4 linked regions of the Arabidopsis thaliana genome follow. The protein of the gene in region 3 interacts with the protein of the main gene of each other region in a pairwise test. Each region holds a gene or a part of one and is shown on either strand. Other genes may lie near its edges. The genes, in order: AT2G44710, RCF3, AtRZ-1c and AT5G06770.

The links.
Region 1: the proteins of AtRZ-1c (region 3) and AT2G44710 interact in a two-hybrid assay, tested with the Arabidopsis thaliana proteins (one large-scale study listed by BioGRID).
Region 2: the proteins of AtRZ-1c (region 3) and RCF3 interact in a two-hybrid assay, tested with the Arabidopsis thaliana proteins (one large-scale study listed by BioGRID).
Region 4: the proteins of AtRZ-1c (region 3) and AT5G06770 interact in a two-hybrid assay, tested with the Arabidopsis thaliana proteins (one large-scale study listed by BioGRID).

What each region holds. Positions count from the first base shown.
Region 1 is NC_003071.7:18,430,962-18,437,722, forward strand, and holds AT2G44710 (RNA-binding (RRM/RBD/RNP motifs) family protein), read left to right. Parts: upstream 1-1,724; 5' UTR 1,725-1,940; coding exon 1,941-2,220; intron 2,221-2,271; exon of another isoform or gene 2,272-2,495; coding exon of another isoform or gene 2,496-2,520; coding exon 2,521-3,077; intron 3,078-3,160; coding exon 3,161-3,250; intron 3,251-3,341; coding exon 3,342-3,581; intron 3,582-3,865; coding exon 3,866-4,087; intron 4,088-4,161; coding exon 4,162-4,519; intron 4,520-4,624; coding exon 4,625-4,938; intron 4,939-5,030; coding exon 5,031-5,134; intron 5,135-5,226; coding exon 5,227-5,330; intron 5,331-5,426; coding exon 5,427-5,497; intron 5,498-5,578; coding exon 5,579-5,668; 3' UTR 5,669-5,670; exon of another isoform or gene 5,671-5,837; 3' UTR 5,838-6,260; downstream 6,261-6,761. Other genes in the region: AT2G44700 (Galactose oxidase/kelch repeat superfamily protein), read left to right, coding at 54-1,160; AT2G44730 (Alcohol dehydrogenase transcription factor Myb/SANT-like family protein), read right to left, coding at 6,486-6,761.
Region 2 is NC_003076.8:21,513,066-21,519,051, forward strand, and holds RCF3 (RNA-binding KH domain-containing protein), read left to right. Parts: upstream 1-1,830; 5' UTR 1,831-2,289; coding exon 2,290-2,979; intron 2,980-3,220; coding exon 3,221-3,664; intron 3,665-3,752; coding exon 3,753-4,001; intron 4,002-4,087; coding exon 4,088-4,336; intron 4,337-4,537; coding exon 4,538-4,608; coding exon of another isoform or gene 4,609-4,612; exon of another isoform or gene 4,613-4,640; intron 4,641-4,700; coding exon 4,701-4,809; intron 4,810-4,905; coding exon 4,906-5,032; intron 5,033-5,112; coding exon 5,113-5,132; 3' UTR 5,133-5,482; downstream 5,483-5,986. Other genes in the region: AT5G53050 (alpha/beta-Hydrolases superfamily protein), read right to left, coding at 1-157, 247-367; AT5G53070 (Ribosomal protein L9/RNase H1), read left to right, coding at 5,772-5,921. UniProt on the Arabidopsis thaliana protein: Acts as a negative regulator of osmotic stress-induced gene expression. Involved in the regulation of thermotolerance responses under heat stress. Functions as an upstream regulator of heat stress transcription factor (HSF) genes.
Region 3 is NC_003076.8:1,190,584-1,196,259, forward strand, and holds AtRZ-1c (RNA-binding (RRM/RBD/RNP motifs) family protein with retrovirus zinc finger-like domain-containing protein), read left to right. Parts: upstream 1-1,675; 5' UTR 1,676-1,765; intron 1,766-1,867; 5' UTR 1,868-1,877; coding exon 1,878-1,988; exon of another isoform or gene 1,989-3,911; coding exon 3,912-4,450; intron 4,451-4,547; coding exon 4,548-4,830; 3' UTR 4,831-5,176; downstream 5,177-5,676. Other genes in the region: KTF1 (kow domain-containing transcription factor 1), read left to right, coding at 5,486-5,676.
Region 4 is NC_003076.8:2,090,193-2,094,595, forward strand, and holds AT5G06770 (KH domain-containing protein / zinc finger (CCCH type) family protein), read right to left. Parts: upstream 2,810-4,403; 5' UTR 2,596-2,809; coding exon 2,517-2,595; exon of another isoform or gene 1,988-2,516; coding exon of another isoform or gene 1,975-1,987; coding exon 1,914-1,974; exon of another isoform or gene 1,387-1,913; coding exon of another isoform or gene 1,328-1,386; coding exon 745-1,327; 3' UTR 511-744; downstream 1-510. Other genes in the region: LEA4-5 (Late Embryogenesis Abundant 4-5), read right to left, coding at 35-121; EML2 (Emsy N Terminus (ENT)/ plant Tudor-like domains-containing protein), read right to left, coding at 3,955-4,001, 4,091-4,154, 4,252-4,320, 4,398-4,403.

The sequences.
Region 1 (6,761 bases), on a different chromosome or scaffold from region 3:
GAATAAATCAATAAAATCTCAATTCTCTAGTCTTCTCCTTTAAACTAGAGTCGATGTCTAGCTCCAACGAACCACCGCGAAAAACCGACCAACCATCGTCGTCATCGGCATCGGCATCGGCATCGCCGTCATTGTTTTTGTCACTGCCACTGGAAATCATTTCGATGATCTTAGCCCGCGTCCCAAAACGATATTACCCAATCCTCTGCTCCGTCTCCAAGAACATGCGGAGTCTTGTTCGCTCGCCTGAAATTCACAAGGCTCGATCTTTACTCGGAAAAGATTATCTCTATATCGGCTTCATCGACGAAAATTATCGCCCCGTATACGACTACTGGTACACTCTCCGGAGAATCGAGAACAGTACGACCGAGAATCTCTTCGAATCCATTGAGTTCCCTTATCCTTCCGAGCCTAATCGATTTTCCATGAACGCCGTTGGTCCAAAGATCTTCTTCATTTCAGAATCTTGTACTCCTTCATCAAGACTTTCGATCTTTGACACCCGATTTGGGGAGTTGCGTCAAGGACCTTGTTTGCTAGTGAAGCGAGGGTACAATTGCGTAGGACTAGTCGGCGGTAAGGTCTATGTGATCGGAGGCTATCAGGACGACGAGATTGCAGCGGAAAGCTTTGATCTAAATACGCAAACTTGGGAAGCAGCGCCGATTCCCGATGAAAAAGAAAGTCACAGGTGGATTTGTAAAGCAAATGTTTCATTTGACAGGAAGGTTTGTGCTTTAAGATCTCGTGAAGGCATGACTTGTTATGACACTAGAGATGGTTCTTGTCAGAGATCTGAGATGCCTAATGATCAATGGTCTAGAGTAGGATTGTGCGTGATTGACAATGTGCTCTTTGTTTACTTCTCTAGATTCGGGTTAATGTGGTATGACTCTAAACTGATGCTGTGGAGAGTGGTTTATGGTTTTGATCTTGACAACGCTCGATCAGTTGGAATCGGGGAATACTACGGAAAGTTGGCGTTTATATGGGAAAAACCAAGTCTTAATGTTAGTGAAAGCAAAGAGATTTGGTGTAGAATGATTGGTTTGCTTAGGAGTGAAGTAGGAATTCATGGAGCTGCAGAACCGTCTCAACTTGTCGAGATTGTCCCTAACGGTTATAGAATGTGTCATTGTCTGTCTCTTTCAGGTTAAAACATGTCTAGTACTACTTTCTTTGGTGTAAAATGATTGTTTTGGATAGGAGTGAAGTAGGAATTCATGTGACTAAAGATGATGATGTTTAATACTTTCGTTAGTCTATATCAATACAATGTGTTACAAGATTATGAATGTGTTGCGGCGTTTACGTCTTCAACTCTCGATTTATTCAATTAATGTTGCAGTTTCAGCATCTTCCTCTGTTCCACCTAATCAAGTTTGTGTTATTGTAAACTCACTCAGTTAAGTGTATTTTACATCGGAGTTGTTGTGTTGTGTTTCTCTTGCCCATTAAACCGATTCCATCGAAAACTGTATTCTTAAACCGAATAATGCAAATATAAATTATAAACCAAGACGAAACCAAAAAAAGATAACCGAAAATGAATGAAAACCGGACTGAACATCGGTAATACAATTAGTCAACCAACACACTTGAAACTCCATACGAGTAAAGGCCCATTGGGGATGAGGATATTTGGGCCAATCCTTCTTACCGTTTTTCGTTTGTTAACAATTACCGAATTAAAAGCTTGATCGCCACGTCTTTTTCTTAATAGAATATATTGATTTTATTTATCTTTTATTTTTAGACCAAGCTCAGGCTATCATCTCTCCGTTAATTAGGGTTTTCTTCTCTATCTCGATTTCAATACCATTGTTGATCCGCTGAGCTAGGGTTGTTCGATCCCGATAATTGTGTCGCTTAGCTCTGATCTCTGTTCATCGAATTTGGTTAATTTGTTTTGATTGGTTAAGATACATTGGAAAGCGATGCCACCGAAGGTTGTGAAGAGGGGAGGCGCCGCGAGAAGAGGTGGGAGGCTTACGAGATCGGCGCTCAAGGCGCAGAATCCTCACGTGGAATCTTCCCATGACGAATCTGTTAATATCGGTGAGCTCTCAGGCTCCGATGCACTGGAAGCCAAGGAGGTGACTCCGGAGGTTGATAAAACTGTTGAGGAAGAGAATCCATTAGATGTGCCGAAGTCATCGGATTCAATTGATGATTCTGAAGCTGCAGCGAATCCGCATGTTGATGTTCCGTCGAAAAGTAAGATTCTTTTAGCCTGGTTATTAATTTTGTTTCGTTTTTGGGATTCTCTACGTTTTCGTTGTTTTGATGGATCTAAGTTTCGCTTTGACGAAAGTTTGTGACTTAGAGTTCCAACATATCTGACCATAGAGATTAAATGAATGTCTGACCATTGAATGTATGAATCTAATTTGGAGGATGGATGTTTAGCTGTTTTTAATTCTGTGGAAGATAGACGTATCTTCTGAGATTGTTATCTCTGAACAAACTTTAGGCTACCTGGAATAGTGTAGATGTTTTACTCGCTTTTACTCGCAGAGGAGACTGAGGTAGAGGAATCTGTGGATGATTTTGGAAAAGATGAAAGATTGGATTTAGATGACAATGAACCTGAGTATGAGGCTGAGGAATATGGCGGGGAGGAGTTTGAAGAGAGGGAATTGGGACAGGAGGACCATGAGTTGGTAAATGAGGAGGGGGAAGAACTGGAGGAAGAGATTGAGGTCGAGGAGGAAGCTGGTGAGTTTGCAGACGAGATTGGAGATGGTGCGGAGGACCTTGATAGTGAGGATGATGATGATGATCATGCTATTGAAGAGGTCAAGCATGGAGAAACTGTTGATGTGGAAGAAGAAGAGCATCATGATGTTCTCCATGAGAGGCGTAAGCGTAAGGAGTTCGAAATATTTGTTGGGAGTTTGGACAAAGGTGCTTCGGAGGAGGACTTAAAGAAAGTGTTTGGTCATGTGGGCGAGGTGACTGAAGTTAGGATTTTGAAGAATCCTCAGACAAAGAAGAGCAAGGGTTCTGCTTTCTTGCGTTTTGCAACTGTGGAACAGGCAAAACGAGCTGTTAAAGAGCTTAAAAGCCCAATGGTAATTGTCTACACTTTAGTATTTGATGGAGAGTTTGTGTAGCTTTACATTTTGTATCATGCTCTTGGTCATTGGGACTGCAGATAAATGGTAAAAAGTGTGGTGTAACTGCAAGCCAAGATAATGATACCCTCTTCGTTGGTAACATATGCAAGATATGGACCCCAGAAGCTGTAAGTATTTGGGTGTCCGTAGATATGTCAATTAAACCCAACTCCACAGTTCGTGGTGATCCTGACAATCAGGTATTTGTTGTTGTTCCAGTTGAGGGAGAAGCTTAAACACTATGGAGTTGAGAATATGGATGATATAACGTTGGTAGAGGACAGCAACAATGTCAACATGAATCGAGGGTATGCCTTTTTGGAATTCTCATCTCGCTCAGATGCCATGGATGCTCACAAGCGTCTCGTCAAGAAAGATGTGATGTTTGGAGTTGAGAAGCCTGCAAAGGTCTCTTTTACTGATTCTTTCTTAGACCTGGAAGATGAGATAATGGCGCAGGTACTCACATTGCAGGATCAATTATTTCTAGCAACTTTCATCCTACCATGTCTTCTTTAGAGCGTTGGAGGAGTTTATAGGGGCATGTGTGGGTGCCACCTATTCTGTATGGTGACTTAGAATACTTGCTAAACCCATCATGAAAACAGAGTCAGAATACATATTCCTTTTGGCCCTCTAACAACATGCTAGATACTGAATTATTGATTGTTGGTGAATCTATTATATCTAACTTATCTATCTTGCTCATAGTAATTAGTTTTATGATATTTCTGGTGTTACAGGTTAAGACAATCTTCATTGACGGTCTGTTACCTTCATGGAATGAAGAACGTGTTAGAGACCTTCTGAAACCATATGGTAAACTTGAAAAAGTTGAGCTTGCTCGCAATATGCCATCAGCAAGGAGGAAAGATTTTGGCTTTGTAACTTTTGATACTCATGAAGCTGCTGTGAGTTGTGCCAAATTCATCAACAACTCAGAGCTAGGCGAAGGGGAGGACAAGGTATGCATAATTTAAATGCATTATCCTTATCCACGAAGTATTTTCTTGCTTTCTAATTCTCTTTTTTTTTCCAGGCAAAAGTGAGAGCACGCCTGTCTAGACCACTTCAGAAAGCAGGTAAAGGCCGACAATCTAGTCGCTCAGACCAGCGGTCTAGGCATGGGGCTGGACGGTCTGGAAGGAGTTCATTTGCTCGTCTTCCACCTCGTAGCCTTGCTTCCTCTCGGAGTGCTAGAGGCGCTGGATCTCGGGCCCCATCTTCTAGTGCAAAGAGAGCTTCTGGATCAAGAGGAAGACGTCCTCGCCCACCTCTACCTCCGCCTGCAAGAGCTAGGCCCTTGCCTCCACCTGCAAGAGCCAGGCCCATGCCACCACCTGCAAGAGCCAGGCCCTTGCCACCACCTGCTAGGTCATATGATAGAAGACCTCCAGGTACCACTGGAATTATTACATGTTTAGTTATCTTTTTTAGTTGAATCTCTTTTGTGTTCATGTATCTAATGATTCTGATCATATCTTCCATATTGTGTTTTGCAGTTCCTCTGTATCCAAAGGCTAGCTTGAAGAGAGACTATGATCGGCGTGATGAACTTCCTCCTCCAAGAAGCAGACCAGCTGTAAGCTATAGTTCCAGGCTTTCTCCTGAGAGGCATCTGTCTTACAGAGATGATTATCCACCCCGGGGTTCGGGTTATTCAGATCTTCCTAGAAGTTCTTCTCGCTCTGAAATTAGGAGGCCATTCGTAGATGACCTTTACAGTCCGAGATTTGAAAGACCTCCAAGTTACAGTGAGGGAAGACCTCGTGCTTATGAACCTCTTCCTGGATCAAAGCGTCCATATGCTGCACTGGTCTGACTTATTGTTTTCTCCGACCAGTTTGTCTTCTTAATTTTGTTTCTTTAGACTATGATTGTTTACTCTAACGAGTGTTCATTATTCAGGATGACCTTCCTCCCCGTTATGCTGATGTTGATGTTCGTCATTCAAGACCCCGTCTGGACTATGATGTTGGCCCATCTCAATATGGGGAATCCTACGGGGACCGGTATGTTCTCTTTTTATGGATAGCTTCAGTTATTTTTGGTAGCAATTTTCTGTGCCAAGTGTATTATTTTCTTACTTCCATGTTTGGTCTAGGATTCCTAGGTCTAGTCTAGGATATGGAAGCAGCCGAAATTCTATGTCAAATCATGACTCGCGGGGCCCATACAGCAGTCGTCAGGGAATGGATTATGGAGGAGGTTTGATTCAGAACTTGGCTTAACAGAGAGCAATACTTCGTCGAGATACACTTACTGCCTTCAATGGCTATAATTTCATAATGTTGCTTTCTTCAGGTTCTTATAGTGGCAGCGATGTAGGAGGTATGTACTCGTCAAGCTATGGTGGCGACTTACCCAGAAGAGATGTAAGTGGCTTCACACTTTCCCCTTTTTTATATTTATTTTGGAAAGTCAAGTTGTGTAACATTTTAGTATTGGATTTACAGGGAGGAGGTAGCTCGTATTCTTCAATTTACTCCAGCCGTGGCTTGGGTGGTAGTAGTTACTCTGGTGGTGGTCCAGGATCATACTACTGAATGTGAGTGTGTTTGGTTCCTTCCATCTTTAGTTGTGTCTTTGTGCATTATTTTTTGGTTTTGTTTGTGGGATATATTGTTGGTTGGAAAGAAAACGGTATCTCCTCTTTCAAGCTCTAAGCAGGAACTATAGATCAAATGTGTGCTTAAGTTTGTTAATGGAACACAGAATTTCACATGACCGAGGCTGCTAAAAAAGGAGGTTTGGCCATGCAAAGTTGTGTATGTAGAAAGGAAGCTACCAGCTGCGAAAGGATTAAAGCCAGCTTCGGTGAGACTGTTGGAATATTAATGGGCTTGCATCTACAACTGCACTTGTATCTTTTTTCGGATGGAATGATAAGCTCGAGTTTTATAGAGATGGTTCATAGTTGTGGGACTCGTTATCTATCTTATCTATCTCTATCTCTTGAATAATGGATGGATTTGTTGGAACAGAGATTAAGCTGTGTTTGTATTATTGATCCATCAGTTTAGTTAAGCTTTCACCGTCTTCTCAGCTTAAGATTTGCATTACTTCTGTTTAGATCTGATGCTTGCTCTGTTTTACTCTCACTGTGGTAAAACAGAGACATTATCCTTGAGACTTGTGGAAGAGACATTAACAACCTCTCACTGTCGGAAACTGAGGAACTCCCAATTTTTATACACTTTATAACATACATAATCAAGCAGGGATACATTACTGGTGTTAGACAGATGCATAAGCTAATAAAAGCTCTTTCGATTTCTACAATCTAGAAAATTTGAAAATCACACATTAATTTAATTTATGGCGCCTTTTGATCAGGAGTCAGCTAAAGACGACGACATTCTTCTATCTAGCTTTCTTCTTCTTGTCTTGCTCCTCCGTAGTAGTATAATCTGATAAGCTTTTAGCAAACGCTTCCACAATTCGTTGTTGAGATTCCAAAATCATCTTTGTCCTCTTCATCTCTGTATCCATCCTCATCGCTTCTATCTCTCTCGTCATCTCCATTCTCGTCTGCTCTGTTCTCACCAACGTATCTCCAAGCAGCTTTATCGCACTAGCTATCTCCACCATTGGATCATTATCATCCTCCTCCGTCTTCATCATCATCTCTCTCCCTCG
Region 2 (5,986 bases), about 20 Mb from region 3:
GAGCTTCGACCCATACCACGATTATCGAAAGCGCAAACCTCGATGCCGGAATCATCGGAAACAATTCCTCCGTCGTCGTCATCATCGTCGTTGGGTTTATCCGTTCCCGTCAATCCCATGATTTGAGGACCCCATGACTCATGGGTTCCGGCTAAACCTGAACAAAATTAGAAAAACCCAATTGAAATCAAGCTCGGAATTGCTAAGGAAACTAATCAAATGGGAAAGATGGAGATTACAACAGACCTATGATGAGAAGAGCTTTGATAGGACCATGACCGTACGTTCTGTAGAAGATTTTGATTGCGGCATTGTTAAGCGTCGTCTCTGGGCCGACATCTTCTTTCACGACCTCGCAAAACGGCATCGCTTTTTTTGTTCTCAAACTCTGATATCTGGGTGGGATCAGATTTTGAATAACCGGAGAGGAGAAGAGGAGAAGAAAGGAAAGGACTTTTCTATCGGAAGAGAGAGAGATTGGGTCTGTGGTGTGGTTCGGTTCGGTTTTTTGGGTGGAGGTTAGGACTGCCACGTAGGATTGGTCGGCTGGATTTTATTGGCGGGTAATATCTAACAAAGGTCAACGGTCAAATTTTTTACACGAGAAAACTATGTTGTATAGAAATATAGCACGTGAAAAACGCTAGAAGTAGAAGTAGTACTACGTCAATGGAATTCATATGCATCATATATAAGAGAAGCGATAATGGGTCTGAACACAAGTGGAGCATTAACCTAAAACAATAGCAACTTAGACCATTTGTTGAAGTAGTCACTACACTATTTTAATCTCCGGTTCAATTTGTTGAACTTTATAATGTTTTGCTATTTTGATCCGCGTTGCTTTATATTATATTGGTGTGGTTTCAGGAGAAGACAGATCGAGACACAAAACAAGGCAAGATCGTTACTGACATTTTATGCTGGACACTAGATAATTGTTCACCAGGACATGTGATAATAAAACCTCCATGACTTCGTGGCTGCTTTTTCATTATATATAGTTTAGGTCACCATCTTGTCGTAGCACAACCTGAAAACGCAATACCTTCTCCTGAAACGGAAAATATTTGTTGGGAAGACCTATCATTTGGAAAGTACTTATGCCCGTCAAGGCTCACAATTTAGACGAAACGATCCACCAACAACTTAAGCTTTGAGTCTTTGACCATAAGTGCGAGACGATTTTCTTGTATTGTTAATTTGTTATTGCTTGTTTTTGTGAACTGATCCTTAGTTTTTTTTTTCATCAAAAGTGATCATTTAGTTAAAGACTTAAAGTGCAATGAGAGTTTGGTTTCTTTATTTTTAAACTCTTGAAAAATTAATTTTGTCAATGAAGCAATACAAATTAAATTGCTGAAAAGGGATAGTAAATCGTTTTTTGTCCTTACGGATTGGTGATGAAAATGGTATTCAACGGATGCAATACTTAGATGCACCAAATGATTTTTACCATATGCTAAACTTTAACACTAAACCAATTATACTTTACCTGGTAAATATTAAAAGGATTTTTTGTTTTCCAAAAACAGTTTTAGTATATGTACTTAATTACATAATACCGCGGTTAATAAATAGTTAAAAATTAAATTAGAAAAAAACACATACGTGTCTACAGTTTTAGTCTCGTACATAACACGAAAAATCATCTAATTGGTTACGTATTAATCATATCATTTTTACCTATTAGAAAAAAATTATTTATACATTTTTAGTATCTACTAATACGTTACGTGAGCACAAAAATTCATCTTCATCAGTGCTAATAACTATGCGAAAATCTGATGACGATTCATTTGTCTAACAATTTATTTAGCTTAATACGAGTTTTTAAAGATGAAGCATACCCAAATTTCCCAAGAGACCAAAACGACAACGTTTGGGAGTAGCTAATATCGTAGTTAGCGCACGCCACTAACATCACCCATTGCACGGTCTCTCTCTACTCTCAAACTTCAAAAAGCTTTGGCTTTTTAGATTCACAGGAAAGAACCCTCAAAACACACAAAAAGCTGGTGATTTTTGCATTGCACCGATTCGCCTCCATCGATTTTGGACATTCTTGAATTCTCCCTCCAAGTATTCCTGTGAAATTGACCGGAAAGTTCCTTCCTTTTTCAATTTCCGGTAAAAAGGAAAGTAATTGGGTACTGTAGACTTCCTTCTAGGGCTTGTGAACTTTCTAATCCTTCAGAAAACCCTCGAATTCGAAAAATTTGCTGCGAGATTGATAAATGACTAGTTAAAGATTTGAACTTTGATTTCTGGGTTTGCGATTTTATTCAAATGGAGAGATCTAGATCCAAGAGAAACTACCACTATGACCAAGACTATGACGGAGATTCCATGCCTAGGTCTAAACCTCGCTACAACAATAATTACCACTTTGGTGGTGGCGGCGGAGGAAATAACAGATACCGTGGCGGCGGCGGTGGTGGAGGTGGAAATGGCCGGCCATCGAAGTCTCATCCTGAAACGATGGCAACAACGACTTATCGAATCCTCTGTCACGACGCTAAAGCAGGAGGTGTTATTGGTAAATCCGGGACAATTATCAAATCTATAAGGCAACACACCGGCGCGTGGATTAACGTGCACGAGCTAGTTCCTGGAGATGCAGAGCGTATCATTGAGATTTCTGATAATCGTAGGCGTGACCCTGATGGGAGAATGCCGTCTTTCTCTCCTGCTCAAGAGGCTTTGTTTAGTGTTCATGACAGGATTTTGGAGAGTGAAGCTCAGTTTGGTTATGGTGGACCTCCGCCGGAAGAGGAGGAGGATTACGGTGGAGTTAGACCTGGTGGAGGGAGAGTTGTGACTAGATTAGTGGTTTCTAGGATGCATGTTGGTTGTTTGTTGGGTAAAGGTGGGAAGATTATTGAGCAGATGAGGATTGAAACTAAGACTCATATTCGGATTCTTCCAAGAGAAAGTAACTTACCTCGTTGTGTTTCACTCTCTGAAGAGATTGTTCAGGTCTGAAAAATTGCTATTTTGAGAACATATTTGAAATGGTGAATCTTGTTGAGATTTTGATATGAAATGTAGTCAGTTTATTGAAATGCTAGATAATTTAAATGTGTGATTGTGAGGTTGAGGTTGTTGACAAGAGTTGAATCACTCTTATGTAGTTAGCTTGGTCATTATTTGTTATGTTTAAGCTTTCTTTGGTGTTTTCTACCTATGGGAAATGCATTTATAATGTTGGTTCTTTCAGATTGTAGGTGAACTAAATGCAGTGAAAAACGCTTTAGCCATTGTATCATCTCGTCTAAGGGAGAGTCAGCATCGTGATCGGAGTAATTTCCAAGGGCGTTCACATTCACCAGAACGGTCGTTTGCAGCTGCGGGGGATGATTACATGCCACAGCTAAGAAGACAATCATCCGATAGGTTTCCTCGTGGTAATTTTAGAAATAACAACTTCAGTTCTCGCCAGTCCAACTATGCAGAAGAAGCTCCAGCAGTTCCAGTTGGTGAGAATGTCTACTCCGAAGAGCTTGTGTTCCAGATTCTCTGCCCAGCTGACAAGATTGTTCGGGTTGTTGGGGAATCGCAAGGAATAATTGATTTGCTTCAGAACGAGATCGGCGTGGACGTTAGAGTATCTGACCCAGTTGCTGGATCTGATGAACAGATAATCACCATTTCTTCGGAAGAGGTACTCTAAATACCCTCAGATCTTCTTCAATATTATCTGTTACATTTACAATTGTGAACTTGAAGTTTTGTATTCTTACTTTGCTTAGGCACCTGATGATCCATTTTTCCCTGCTCAAGAAGCCTTGTTGCACATTCAAACTCAGATCATAGATCTTATTCCGGATAAAGATAATTTAATAACAACAAGATTACTTGTCCCATCTAGAGACTCTATATGTTTGGAAGGGAAAGCAGGATCAGTATCTGAGATATCACGATTAACTGGAACAAGCGTACAAATTCTAGCTAGGGAAGAAATTCCCCGATGTGCTTCTATCAATGATGTTGTTATACAGGTATGTTTGTCTATTTTTGAGGAGTCGAGCATTTTCTAAACAACTTCTGGTCTCAAAAGAGAATTCTTATGTGAATGTCGATGTAGATTACTGGCGAGATCAGAGCTGCTCGGGAAGCACTTGTTGAATTAACATTACTATTGAGGAGTCATATGTTCAAGGAGCTCTCTCAAAAGGAGACACCACCAGCTTCCACATCCACAACTGGCCCTCTCGAAGGTGTTGCAGGAGTAATGGAGGTAGCTTCATCAAATAACACAATTCAATCTCGTGAAGGTCCTACTAGTTCGAATCTGAACTTGCAGCAAGTTAGCACAATCTTGCCACAGTTTAAGGTTTTTGTTCTCATCAACAATCTTTTCAATATAAAGGCATCTGTAATCAGTTAGGGTCAGACTTATTTTTGCCATCGAAACAATGTAATATTACTATCAGGCTATGCATAATTACCTGAATACTTGGAAAGTAGTCTATGGTTCTTGTCCATTCGTGCAATGTCCCTATATTTACATATATTTTTCTCTTGGTTTTTATAGGAAGGTTTCGGATCAGTTGCAAAGGCGGGTGAAAGTGAACACCGGGAAGAGGTTCCTGTCACGACAAGCAGGTAGAGAAACTCCCAAATTTGATATATTTTCCCAAAACCGTACAAGTGCTTGTTTCACACCTTTCCTTCCTGCTTTTTGTTTTTTTCTCTAGAATGGCGGTACCACTTGTTACTAGAAGCACTCTTGAAGTTGTCTTACCAGAGGCGGTTGTTCCTAAGCTCGTTACGAAATCAAGAAACAAGCTTGCACAAATCAGTGAGGTAGAACTCTTTTTAACTGGAACTAGATTGGTGCAAATCATGACTCTAATCAAAATCTTTGACGCTTTGTCTTATCTCTTTCCCACTTGATCACAGTGGTCTGGAGCTAGTGTAACCATAGTTGAAGACAGACCAGAAGAAACACAGAATATCATTCGAATTTCGGGTACACCCGAGCAAGCAGAGAGAGCTCAGAGTTTGCTTCAAGGCTTCATTTTGAGCAGTAAGTTTCTCTCTTTCCAAACTTTTATATCCGTATTGTACTGATCTATAAGTCTGATTTCCGTTCCTTGTTTGGTGCAGTACAAGAGGATGGACCGTGAACTTGGACCAGATCATCAGTCAACACAGAGATGAAGATCAAGAAACTGAGAAATGTGGAGTTATGTATGACTTGTTGAATATTAGGATTTCAGTAAGCAGTAGTTTAGATGAACATTCCACATTTTGACCATCACTCTTTGGTTTCTATGTTGTCTATTAGTCTTCTTTGTTTACATTGTTCTGTAACTTATTTAAAAAAGTCATTAAAGTTTAATCCGAATGACTAATCATTAAAGACTCATCTTTAATTCACACCACCCCTATGTATATTGGAAGAACTTAAACGCTGCGTTTCACTTGAGTTAACATCATTGAGATTGGGGTGTTTTTGCCCTAGATAAAGTTTAGGGTGAAAACATAGATAAATCTTAAGTCGTATTTTACAAAAATAGCCACTGCTAAAACCTCACCTGCGGCTTCACCTTTCTTCGAGTTCGTGAAAAAGAGACGTCGCATCGCACCGCCGTCGCCATTTCCACCGTCGTAGCATTGCCGCTTCACTGGTGATTGATTCTTCCTTAACTTCTCTTTTTGTTTTCTCTGTTCTCTTATATCCGTCGTTTTCTAGGGTTTTCTCACTCCTTGTTGTGGAATCTCTCTTTGTAGACTGTCGCACTGAATATTGTTGAATCGAGAAAATGGCTTATGTTGGGCAAAGTAGAAACGTGATTCGGCATGTAGTCTCGAGAGGAACAGCTTATCACAAGTATGAAAATGCGATTCATCATCCTCTCCTTTTCGCTTGTCAAGGAGTTCGATACAGAAAATTAGAAGTTATTCTTACAACGGTGAGGTTTAATGATTCTGAAAGGCATGATTTTTATCGTTTGATTTTGAAATTTCCTTCACATTT
Region 3 (5,676 bases):
CACCACTAGTTTTCTAAAAGGTTAGGATATTAGAACATACGTCTTGAAACCCTAGCATCTATAATTCTTTGTAACCATATATTCAAAATTTATAGATACTCAAAAATTTCCTAAAAGTATTAAAATTTGTCAATAGTAAAAAGCTTCGCACACAATTATTTTGTTTGGGAAGATGAGTTATCTACCCATATCATGGCAGACAACCTGGTACCTTTGCCTCTGTCCACATTATCATAGATTATATATATTTTTGGTTTTATATTCCATTTCTCTGTATTTTATACTTTAGAATCTTATTTACACAAATTTAGTATATGATTTTTTTTTGTATCTTTAGATGTAACTTTTTGATGACATTAAATAGATGGTATATTAGGTCAAATAATCAAAGTGTAACAGTATATACTATTATAGATCTATGTCATATATGACCTATTTAATTTGTTGGAATCTCTCGAAATGTACAAAATAATATTGGTTAGGTTTAAAAATGTTTAAGCACCAACTGGATCATTATATTAAATTAATAATCCAAGTGGTATTAATTACAATTAAACTTTCTTATATGCATTTCTTATAAAACTTTCCCTCGAATCTTGAGAGTCATTTTAGTAATTCGAAAGGAAACTTAGTTTAACAAATTTTCCTATAAAGAAAAACAAAACCGATTTCCTTGTACATTTGCGGATGACTATTTCTACAATTACAGTTTATGAATTCGTTCATAAAGCCTTTTGGCCATACAAATTTTGTATACCTCCAAATTTTAAGCCATATTTAACCATCTTGCTTAAGTAATGACCGTAAAGTCAAGTACATATCTGTCCACATGGGAACATGGATGCTTCTAAGCTAGTAATTATCCACATGATGTTGCAAAGGCACCGTTTTATACATAATGCCACACATGTAAAGCCCGGAATAATATGTGATATCTTAAACCATCACATACCTCCCTAAGATTTGTATGGAAATATATAAAAATTATTATGCTACAAAAATTCATTCGTCTTGTAATGAAAAGTAAAATTGTTTAAACGTACGTTTTAGAAAAAAAAGAAGAAGAGAGAAATTGTGCTATTTACATTACTGTTTTTTTTATTTGCATTAGAAATTTTGTTACTAGGTGCAAATACACTTAAAAATGAAGAATGTGTACCAGGATAGTCGGAGTTCTGTCTTAGGATGATAAATATACAAATCCTATAGGTTGTTTTGCTCCAAAACTGTGGGCTGGTTAAAGTTAGTTTATTAGCTAGGTAATGCGTGATTAGGTCATCTACACATAGTGACTTGGATCTCACGTGGAATAAAGCTTCTGATATCTTATTTTATTGTAAAGCTAAACAATATATATTGATCAGCTAAAACATATTCGATGTAATTTTTATATGCATGTTCAAATTTTCAAGTAAAAATTGGCAAGAGATCTTATTGGGAAAAACCCTCAACTACAATTATAATTGTTTTTTTTTTTGCCTCATTACAAGCTTAAAGGATGTATTTATAGTATACAGAAAAAAGAAAAGACTTATTTTTCTGGTCGGTCATTGGTGGATCCATGAGCTTAACAGAATAAACTTATGACTTGGGCCCATAGAGAAATTTGGGCCTAGGTCTGGGCCTCTGTTGTTAATCATCAGAGCCTTTAGGCACTTGTAGTGTACCTTTCTCGTGGCGTAGTACCTCAACCACCACCATTTTAGGGTTTCTTCGTGCCATTGATATTTTGAGAGGCGAAGGAAACAATACGATTCAGAGAGAGGTAAGATGAATCTATTCGTGTAATTCTAGAATTAATATCGAGTTTAGTCGTTGGAGATTTTTTTGTTCGTTTACCTCAATTTGTTTTGTTTTCTGTGAATAGACGAGTGAAAATGGCTGCAAAAGAAGGTAGTAGGATTTTTGTCGGTGGTTTATCGCCGGAAGTGACAGATAGAGACCTTGAAAGAGCTTTTAGCCGCTTCGGAGACATTCTCGATTGTCAGGTACCAATTTGAAATTTTTGTTCTATGTTTTGTTCTTCTCTGTGTAGGTTGGTACTATTTTTATTCCTTGAGTTTATCATAGCTTGTGCCTGCACTAGTCCTATGAAATTTAGAGATTGTTATCTAAAGCTTTGTGATAAGAATTGAACATGTCTATGAATATTTTTGGAATGTTTTAAGTTGAAAGTGGTATATTTGCTTGAGCTGATCGTGAAAACATATACTTGAAAAAATGAGATTACACTAATAATACAGAAATACAGAGACGTTTGAGGATTAGTTGAAAAGTCTTGCTTTGCATTATTCCTCTTTTCACTTATTGATCTTCCCTTTTTTCTTTTTTTTCCTGGATGCTGGTAATGTATCACTGAAACACTATAGATTGATGAATTAGGGATGATATTGATCAGAGCTACATGGTTCAAGTTGAGAAACTACTCTGTGATAAAGAATTAAACTGCCTGAGATTTTAGGATATACAGTAGTGTTTGAGTTTCTGAGCAAATTGATTTCCACACTTTTGGAATGTGTTTCACAAGGTTGGGACTGTCGTAACTGGTTACTTCAGTTTCTTCTATCATCAAGGAAATTCTTTATTTTGCTCTGGAGGGATGACTGTTTTTTCGTAACTCATGATTGAGATGTGTAATTCTTGAGTTCTCTAAGTATGCCGTGACTGGGTTTTGGTTTACTTCCTGATAATGTTCCTTGTTACTGCTCTTACTAGTAATTAAATGTTTGTTTGCTGGCCTGGGATACCTGATTTGGTTTTGAGTGGTCAATTCGAGATGCTACCCAGTTTAGGCCAGAGTCTCAGTTCTTCTTCAGGTGGTGAAGATATTTAGGAACTCCTTGCAGTAGTTACGTTGTGTAGTCATATTTCTGGATAATCCCAGTCTACATTCAGTTGTCTTGCCGCAAGATTTCGTTTTCTCCTCATACCCTGAGCATCAGTGCAAGCAGTTTGGATTCTTCAGCGTAGTATGAACCTGCAGAACGGAAAATTACACTCAGTTGAAGCAGAGATCTCAAGGTTTCGGTGATCCTTTTCTTATCCAGATTTCCTACTTGTCTTTCTTGTGGGCTGTTTGCTTTACCTCATCTCGCTTCTCCTGCCATGTGTGGCTAGTAGGAGTTACATGGATTTGATCTTTTCCTTTCTCTGTTCTTCTTTTTCAGTCTTACAAATTTCCTAATTTTCTAATGCAAGCCAATTAAAATGATTCTTGTGCCTGGGCCACACATTTTCTATATCCACCAACCCCAGTTCTCTGTGCTTATCTTTTCCGGAAGTTTCTGAAACCTGATAAAGCTCTTTGTGTGAGAGGAATTCTGTATTTCTGATCTGTGGGTTGTGGTGCTATGTAAAGAATCGTCAGCTCCAGTGAATCTGAATGACTTCAGCTGGATCAATGTCAGATGATATCTGCATATTGAGTAGAAACAGATGTTTGATCAGTAATTTTGAGTACAGCTAATTAACTGACTTCCTTCTCTGTAAACCTTCCTCTCTTTAGTTTTGCAACTACATCACATGGCTGTTGAGAATAGGGATGAACTAGTATACTATCTAAGGGCTTAAATTGAGGAATTTTTCATTTTGAACTGAGAAAAAGTTGTTAGTGCTTTCTGCTACCTCTGCTTGAGATTGGAGACTTACTTTAAAGTTGATTCAGTTTCTGGGGATCTGTACTGTGTTTTGCTCTGAAGTTGAGGTTGATTGACTATTTACTACACAAAGCAGGGTCACAGTGTTATGCAGTGAACCTTAAAACGGTTGGGTGTTTCTTGATGTCACATGGGCTTGATATGATCTTTCAGATTTTGCAATCGTTTCATTTTACTACTGCCCTTCTGCTCACTTTTAGCTACACGTATGCATATATCTTTGGGAAATCAGCTTTTATGGTGTATTGTGTATAGATCATGCTGGAAAGAGATACTGGTCGTTCACGTGGATTCGGGTTTATCACTTTTGCTGATCGCCGCGCTATGGATGAGTCCATCAGAGAGATGCATGGAAGGGACTTTGGTGATCGGGTCATCTCAGTGAACAGAGCTGAACCAAAACTGGGGCGAGATGATGGAGAAAGTCATGGCTCTAGAGGTGGCAGAGACAGTGGCTACTCGATTGCTGGAAAAGGAAGCTTTGGTGGAGGTGGAGGTGGAGGTGGGCGTGTTGGTGAAGATGAATGCTTCAAGTGTGGACGGGTTGGGCACTGGGCCCGTGATTGTCCTTCTGCTGGTGGTGGTCGTGGAGGACCTGTTGGTGGTTTTTCTTCACGTGCTAGTGCGTATGGAGGATCTGATGGACGTGTTGACCGCTATGCTGACCGTGACCGCTATGTGGACCGCGAACGATACATAGATGATCGATACGACGGTGCTGCACGCTATGGTGCTAGAGACAGGTTTGACAGCAGAGAAGCCTACATACCCCGTGATCGATACGCCAGTGACAGGTTAGAATCAAGTTTCTAATGCAACTCAGATTATTGTAAGGTTATCAAAGTGACTTGCTTTTCTTACATAACTTTATTCTTATCTGTGATTTTACAGGTATGCAGCCCCGGCTGATCGGTTTGCAGGTGGTGATAGATACAGCCGTGGATCAGACCGTTATCCTCCAGGGAGCTATGACAAAGCTCGGTCCTTTGAGAGAGACATAGCCCCGAGTGCAGGCAGTGACAGGTACGGTGGTGGTAGAGCTGGTGGTCCCATCCGTGGAGGAGGAGAGGAGGGAAGAGGGTTTAGAAGCAGAGCCGGTGCTCCTTATGAGAGACCGAGCAGAAGTGGTGGTGGTGGAGCTTATCCGTCGTCGTCCACTTTTGACCGTTATTAAGACACATTAATGAAAGAAAGTGAGAATGATGCTTGGTTAGAGCTCTATACACTCAGTCGTGTGTGTTGCTTGTGGTAATGAATATCTCTGTAAGCGTTATAGGTGTAAAAGACTTGTCTTTTTTATTTATATATGATTAGTTTGCGGACCTGTTTAGCTTTGTATTTTGATCCTTTATTATTTTTGGTTTGTTTTGGACCATAACATGACTTTTGAGCTTCGTCAGTCAATGTTAAACCTTGCACACATAACTAGCCTTTTTAGTTTCATCATCAATGTACAAGAGACGAGTGTCTTAGGCATCCGCATGTTATTCTAAAATTTTGATTTATTGTTTTGTATACTGTACATATTGCTTCATATTGTCAAAATTTTCGTTTTTTCCTATAAGTTCAATCTATTACCAAATAGGCAAATAAAACGAAGCAGAATATTATTGTAGAGACAAAAGAAAAGTTGAGAAATTAATTAAAACAATAAAGAGTCCAAATCGATTGGATAATAAAAAGGCCTTAAAAGAGTAAAGAGTAAAAAAAAAAGCCACTCAAAAGTCGGAAAACAATCACATCTATAAACGTTTTCTTCACTCTCTCTGCTACTTGTCTCTCAAAAGAAATGCAATTGTGAAAGCCCTAAACTAACCGTGAAGAAGACGATGGATCGCAAGGGAAAGGGTAAACAGGTCGCCGGTAGTGATTCGTATTCCGGCGGACAGAAAAGGAAAAACTCCGTCGAATTCAGAGATGAAGGTTTGAGGATTAAGAAGCGCAAAAACCCTGAGGTTCTTCAGTTCTTCGAAGAATCAGCTGAAGTTGGCTACTACGGAGGCAGCTCCGACGAAGATGA
Region 4 (4,403 bases), 900 kb from region 3:
ATCAATAAATTAATAATAACCACAATTCTGTTACCTTTTCCTCCAAGGTAGCTTTGGTTTTGTCCATGCCAGATTTTGCAGAAGCTGCAATATTCGAAGCTGTTTCTTTCATCGACTGCATTTTTACCAAATCTCTCTCTTTTCCTTTAGCGAAATTCAAAGATGTTACAAAGATATCTTCTGATTACTTTTGTTTATTGTTTTGCTCACCGAGCATGTCCCATAGATATAGCCATAGGCCTCGCGTTCGTCACGATAGTTTAATATTTAATTACGTTCTTGACGACACGTCAGTGAGACGTGTCATGAAAGAAGAGGAAGAAGAGGTGGTAGGCTTTGTGTTTCAGTTATTGGTCCTACACGTGTTGGAAAGCCTTTGAGTCGTTGAGAAGATAGATGTTGACGCGTGTTAGGCTTTAGAGTTCGCCTCATGTCGGCGGTTAACCCGGTTTTGTAATCGATAGGTTAAGACAAAACAAGTATATTATTGTGCATGATATCTTAAGAGTTAAGACAAAAATAGTATGTAGCTGTAATATAAGGGTTTTAACATATCAAAGTCTTTTAACTGTGATCGGTAACTTACAGAACTCGTCGAATCTTCAGAGCTCAATACAGAATGGGCTAAAGTTTTCAAAGCGAGTCGCATAAAACAAATTGATAAAACAAAAAGAGAGAGCAAAAAGTCACAATGATAATGGAGCTAACAATGCATAATCTGTTCTCAAGAGTCTAAAGACATAACTAAGCGATTCCTGACCTGCGCAGCTCAGATTCACCATGAGCAAAATGGCATCTATCTCCATATGTACAGTTCCCTTTAGAGTACCTATCACAGATCTTGGTTTTGTAGTTGCTCCCAGGATGTGGTTTCCCTTCAGGACCACCAATCCCTTGAGGTTTCTTCACTGATCCAAGCCTCCCTATAAGCTCTCTCACCATCCCACTCGCTACATTGATCTGTTCAAATGTTCCTTCCAGCTCGATAATCTTCAAGTTTGGGTCTCTTTCATGATCTTTAATCGATAATTTTGCTCCTGTTTCACGGCATATCTGTTTGGAATGGATTCCACCTTTTCCAATGATGGCACCGGCTAAAGAAGCATCTACACTGATCTTGGAAGTAGAAGCACCAAAGATTGAAACAGGGCCTGATCCTGGATCTCCTCTCCCTGAGAATCTGCCGCCGGGACCACCAGATCCTTGCATATTTCTGGAAACTTGAGAAACCGGTGGTCGGAGATTTGTCATCTGCGCTGCAGCATTGTACCCACCGGGCACATAGTGCAAGAAGTGGCAATTGTCACCAAATGGACATCCAGAAGTGCTGCAGTACAAACCATAATGCATCAGCAAATTCATTCGAGAAAGAACAAAACGACACATCTCCAAGCTGTTGCACTATTGCTACCTTCTCGAAAAAGCTATAGCGTTTTAGTACAAAGATAATGAAAGAAATTTATAAAGTAATAAAACAGATTGTAGTCATTATGCATCACCGATGAACAACACGTTGCACAGGAGCCGAAAGACTCATGGATAGTTCAAAGATAATGCAAGAAGAACCTTACTTGAGAACAATGGTTTTATGCTGCATATGCAAAATTACAGTTTCCTTACCATCAAACAGAAGAAGAATAAACAAATTGTTTACAACGACAGCCACAAAAACAAGTTTTGGTTGATTTTGTATATTAGATTCACCAGTAGAGTTCAGTTCCAAAATTATACTCCATATAAGCTTATCATCCATTCTTAGGAGGAATCACAGTTTGTTACATTGACTTTTTAACTCGTTTAAGGATGAACAGTGCTACGTACCTGTATAACAACTATCCACTTCATTAGCACACTTTATACAGTATTACTTCTTAATTTCATGATCCAATCAGGAAAAAAAATAGATTTATAACCTGAAAAATTTAGTGCATGGCTTGGATTTGCTTCCTAAACCAGTTGAAATTGATTCCATCTCTGTTGCAAACATTAAGTGCTTTTACTTGGTTAAACTTTTCTACAATTTTCTCAATACATATCATTTGGACTTGGCACCAGTATACCATTCTGGTTTTGAAAATTTCCAGGGTTATAGAGTTTTGAAATTGAACTCAACAGCTTGAGTTGATACAGATCAATATATCAATCAAGTAAATCCAGTAATGTTGAGTGGTCACAAAGGCTAATGGGAGTTGATTGATGAATCCAATGAATATGAGAAGAAGGGTAAGCCAATAGCACAACACAAAGCAGAACAAGATACAAACTTCTCATATCAATTGTCTCCCAACTCTCAAGTAAGGTAATACCAGACTGAAGCAGAAAAAGGGTTTGCGACTAATCTCTCTAATGAACACAAAAATGAACAAAGGAACAACCTTTACGAGAGACAGAGCACACATTGCAACTAGAAATGAACAAACATAAGTGATACCAAAACATTCTCTCTTGTTGTGAAGATCTCGAATTTCTAAAACCCAATTGGAGACAATAGGAAGGAGAGGAGTGAAAGAACAAACCTTGCTTAGACCTCTTGAATCCGCCATTGGAGTTGTGAGAGGCAGCAGCTTCAGGGCGTCCTCTCTTACGAGCATCCATGTCTCGATAAGATCGATTGAATCGGAGTAGGTAGAATCGAAGAAAGATGAAATGAGATCTCAAAGTTTTGTGATATGAGCTTTGCGATTCTTATCCTTTTAAAATTCTATTGGGTTTATCATCATCATCATCATCTCCACACACACAGCTCAACAATATAAATGGGGGATAGAGGTTTGCTTAATTTGTTAATAATATAAATTAATTCGTGGAACACCAAAAGACCAGGAGACTAATTCCATTATTAATTATATGGATTACTATAAATTTAAAGTATATACATTAACATTAGAATGAATTTATGTTTTGACAATAATAGAGTTTATTTGATGAGACTGGAATCAAACTTGTACTCATGCAAGTAATAAACACCAAAAAAATATTCAACTCTGATTATTTGTACACATATTACTTTATATTTATTGTTAATTCACATCCAGTGGTTTCAAAAATAGAGAATTGTTAAATTTGCGCGTTTTAATTGTTTTATCATAGTCACATTAGTTTTAATATATTCAAAAAATACAGAAAAAATAATTTGGGTAACGAGTCATTTGTAGAAATTTTGGAAAAAAATCGTTAAGTTTGGCGCGTTTTAATTTTTTATCATAATCACAGTAATTTAAACTAAAAAGTAGTATTTTTTTCTGATAACTCTATCAATAACATTCAATCTAAAAAAAATACGGAACATATAATTTGAATAATCGATCGGTTTAAGATTGCCATTAAGATTGAACATATAATTGCCATTAAGAATTAAGATTGTCATTTTAACAAAAGAAAAATTATAAAAAATTTCTAACATCGGGTCGATAAGACGATAACCCTGATACTAATTTATTGTTAACCGTTCTTATAACCATTGAATATATTTTTTTAAAACAATAAAATAAATTGAAGTAAAGTAACCATTGAAATATTTTTAAAATTGAAGGATTCAGTGACAGGTGATTTATGTTGATCTCACTTTCCATCTTATATTCTTGCTAATTGAATCAGATTTTGAATGTTATGCTCAAAGGTCAAAAGCCTCTTCTCAATATTTACATGCTTGGTTCGATTCTTTTTACATTGTTTAGACAGGAATTGGGGATTTGAGCAAGTAAATTATTAACGATCCTGATGGCAAGCCTGATGATGATCACACAAGTTCAGAATTTTTTTTTAAAAATAGTGTTTTTACAAACAAAATTCCTAACGATTATTTTCATACATTCTGAAACCACAAATTAGAAGAATACTACTAATTGTTCATCATATATGAACAAAATCATTTTCTGGGATCCCTTAAAGCAAAACAGAAGAAAAAGAAATATTGCTAGTCATTTTTCCTAGGGGTGATGGTGTCATACATACTCACCCCAGCAGCATTGGAAGCTCATGCGAATACGGTTCTTCTCCATCTGGTTCACCAGCACAAATTATGTTGTTGTTAGTGATCTTAGTGCATGACAAATAGAAATAAACAAAGGCCGCTGTTCACATTTATTACCGCTTTCGTAATCAGAAGCATCCGTAAGCCTTGCAATGGCAGCAATAAGCGCCTGTTCATGTTCCTATATCATCCAATAACAACAACACCAAGTTTCACTTCACTGTTTCTTTCAATCGATATCTCGTCACAAAGTTCTTATCAATTATCATATCGCTCACCTTGAGTAGCTTCTTGGCCTTATCAAGCTCATGTGGATCAGGAAGGTTTGAATCAAAAACTCTCTCGACCTAATGCGAAAGATTTCGACATCAAAAACCCTTTTTGCCTAAAGAGAAACAAAATGCAGAGAGATAGAGATACCTACCTCTTT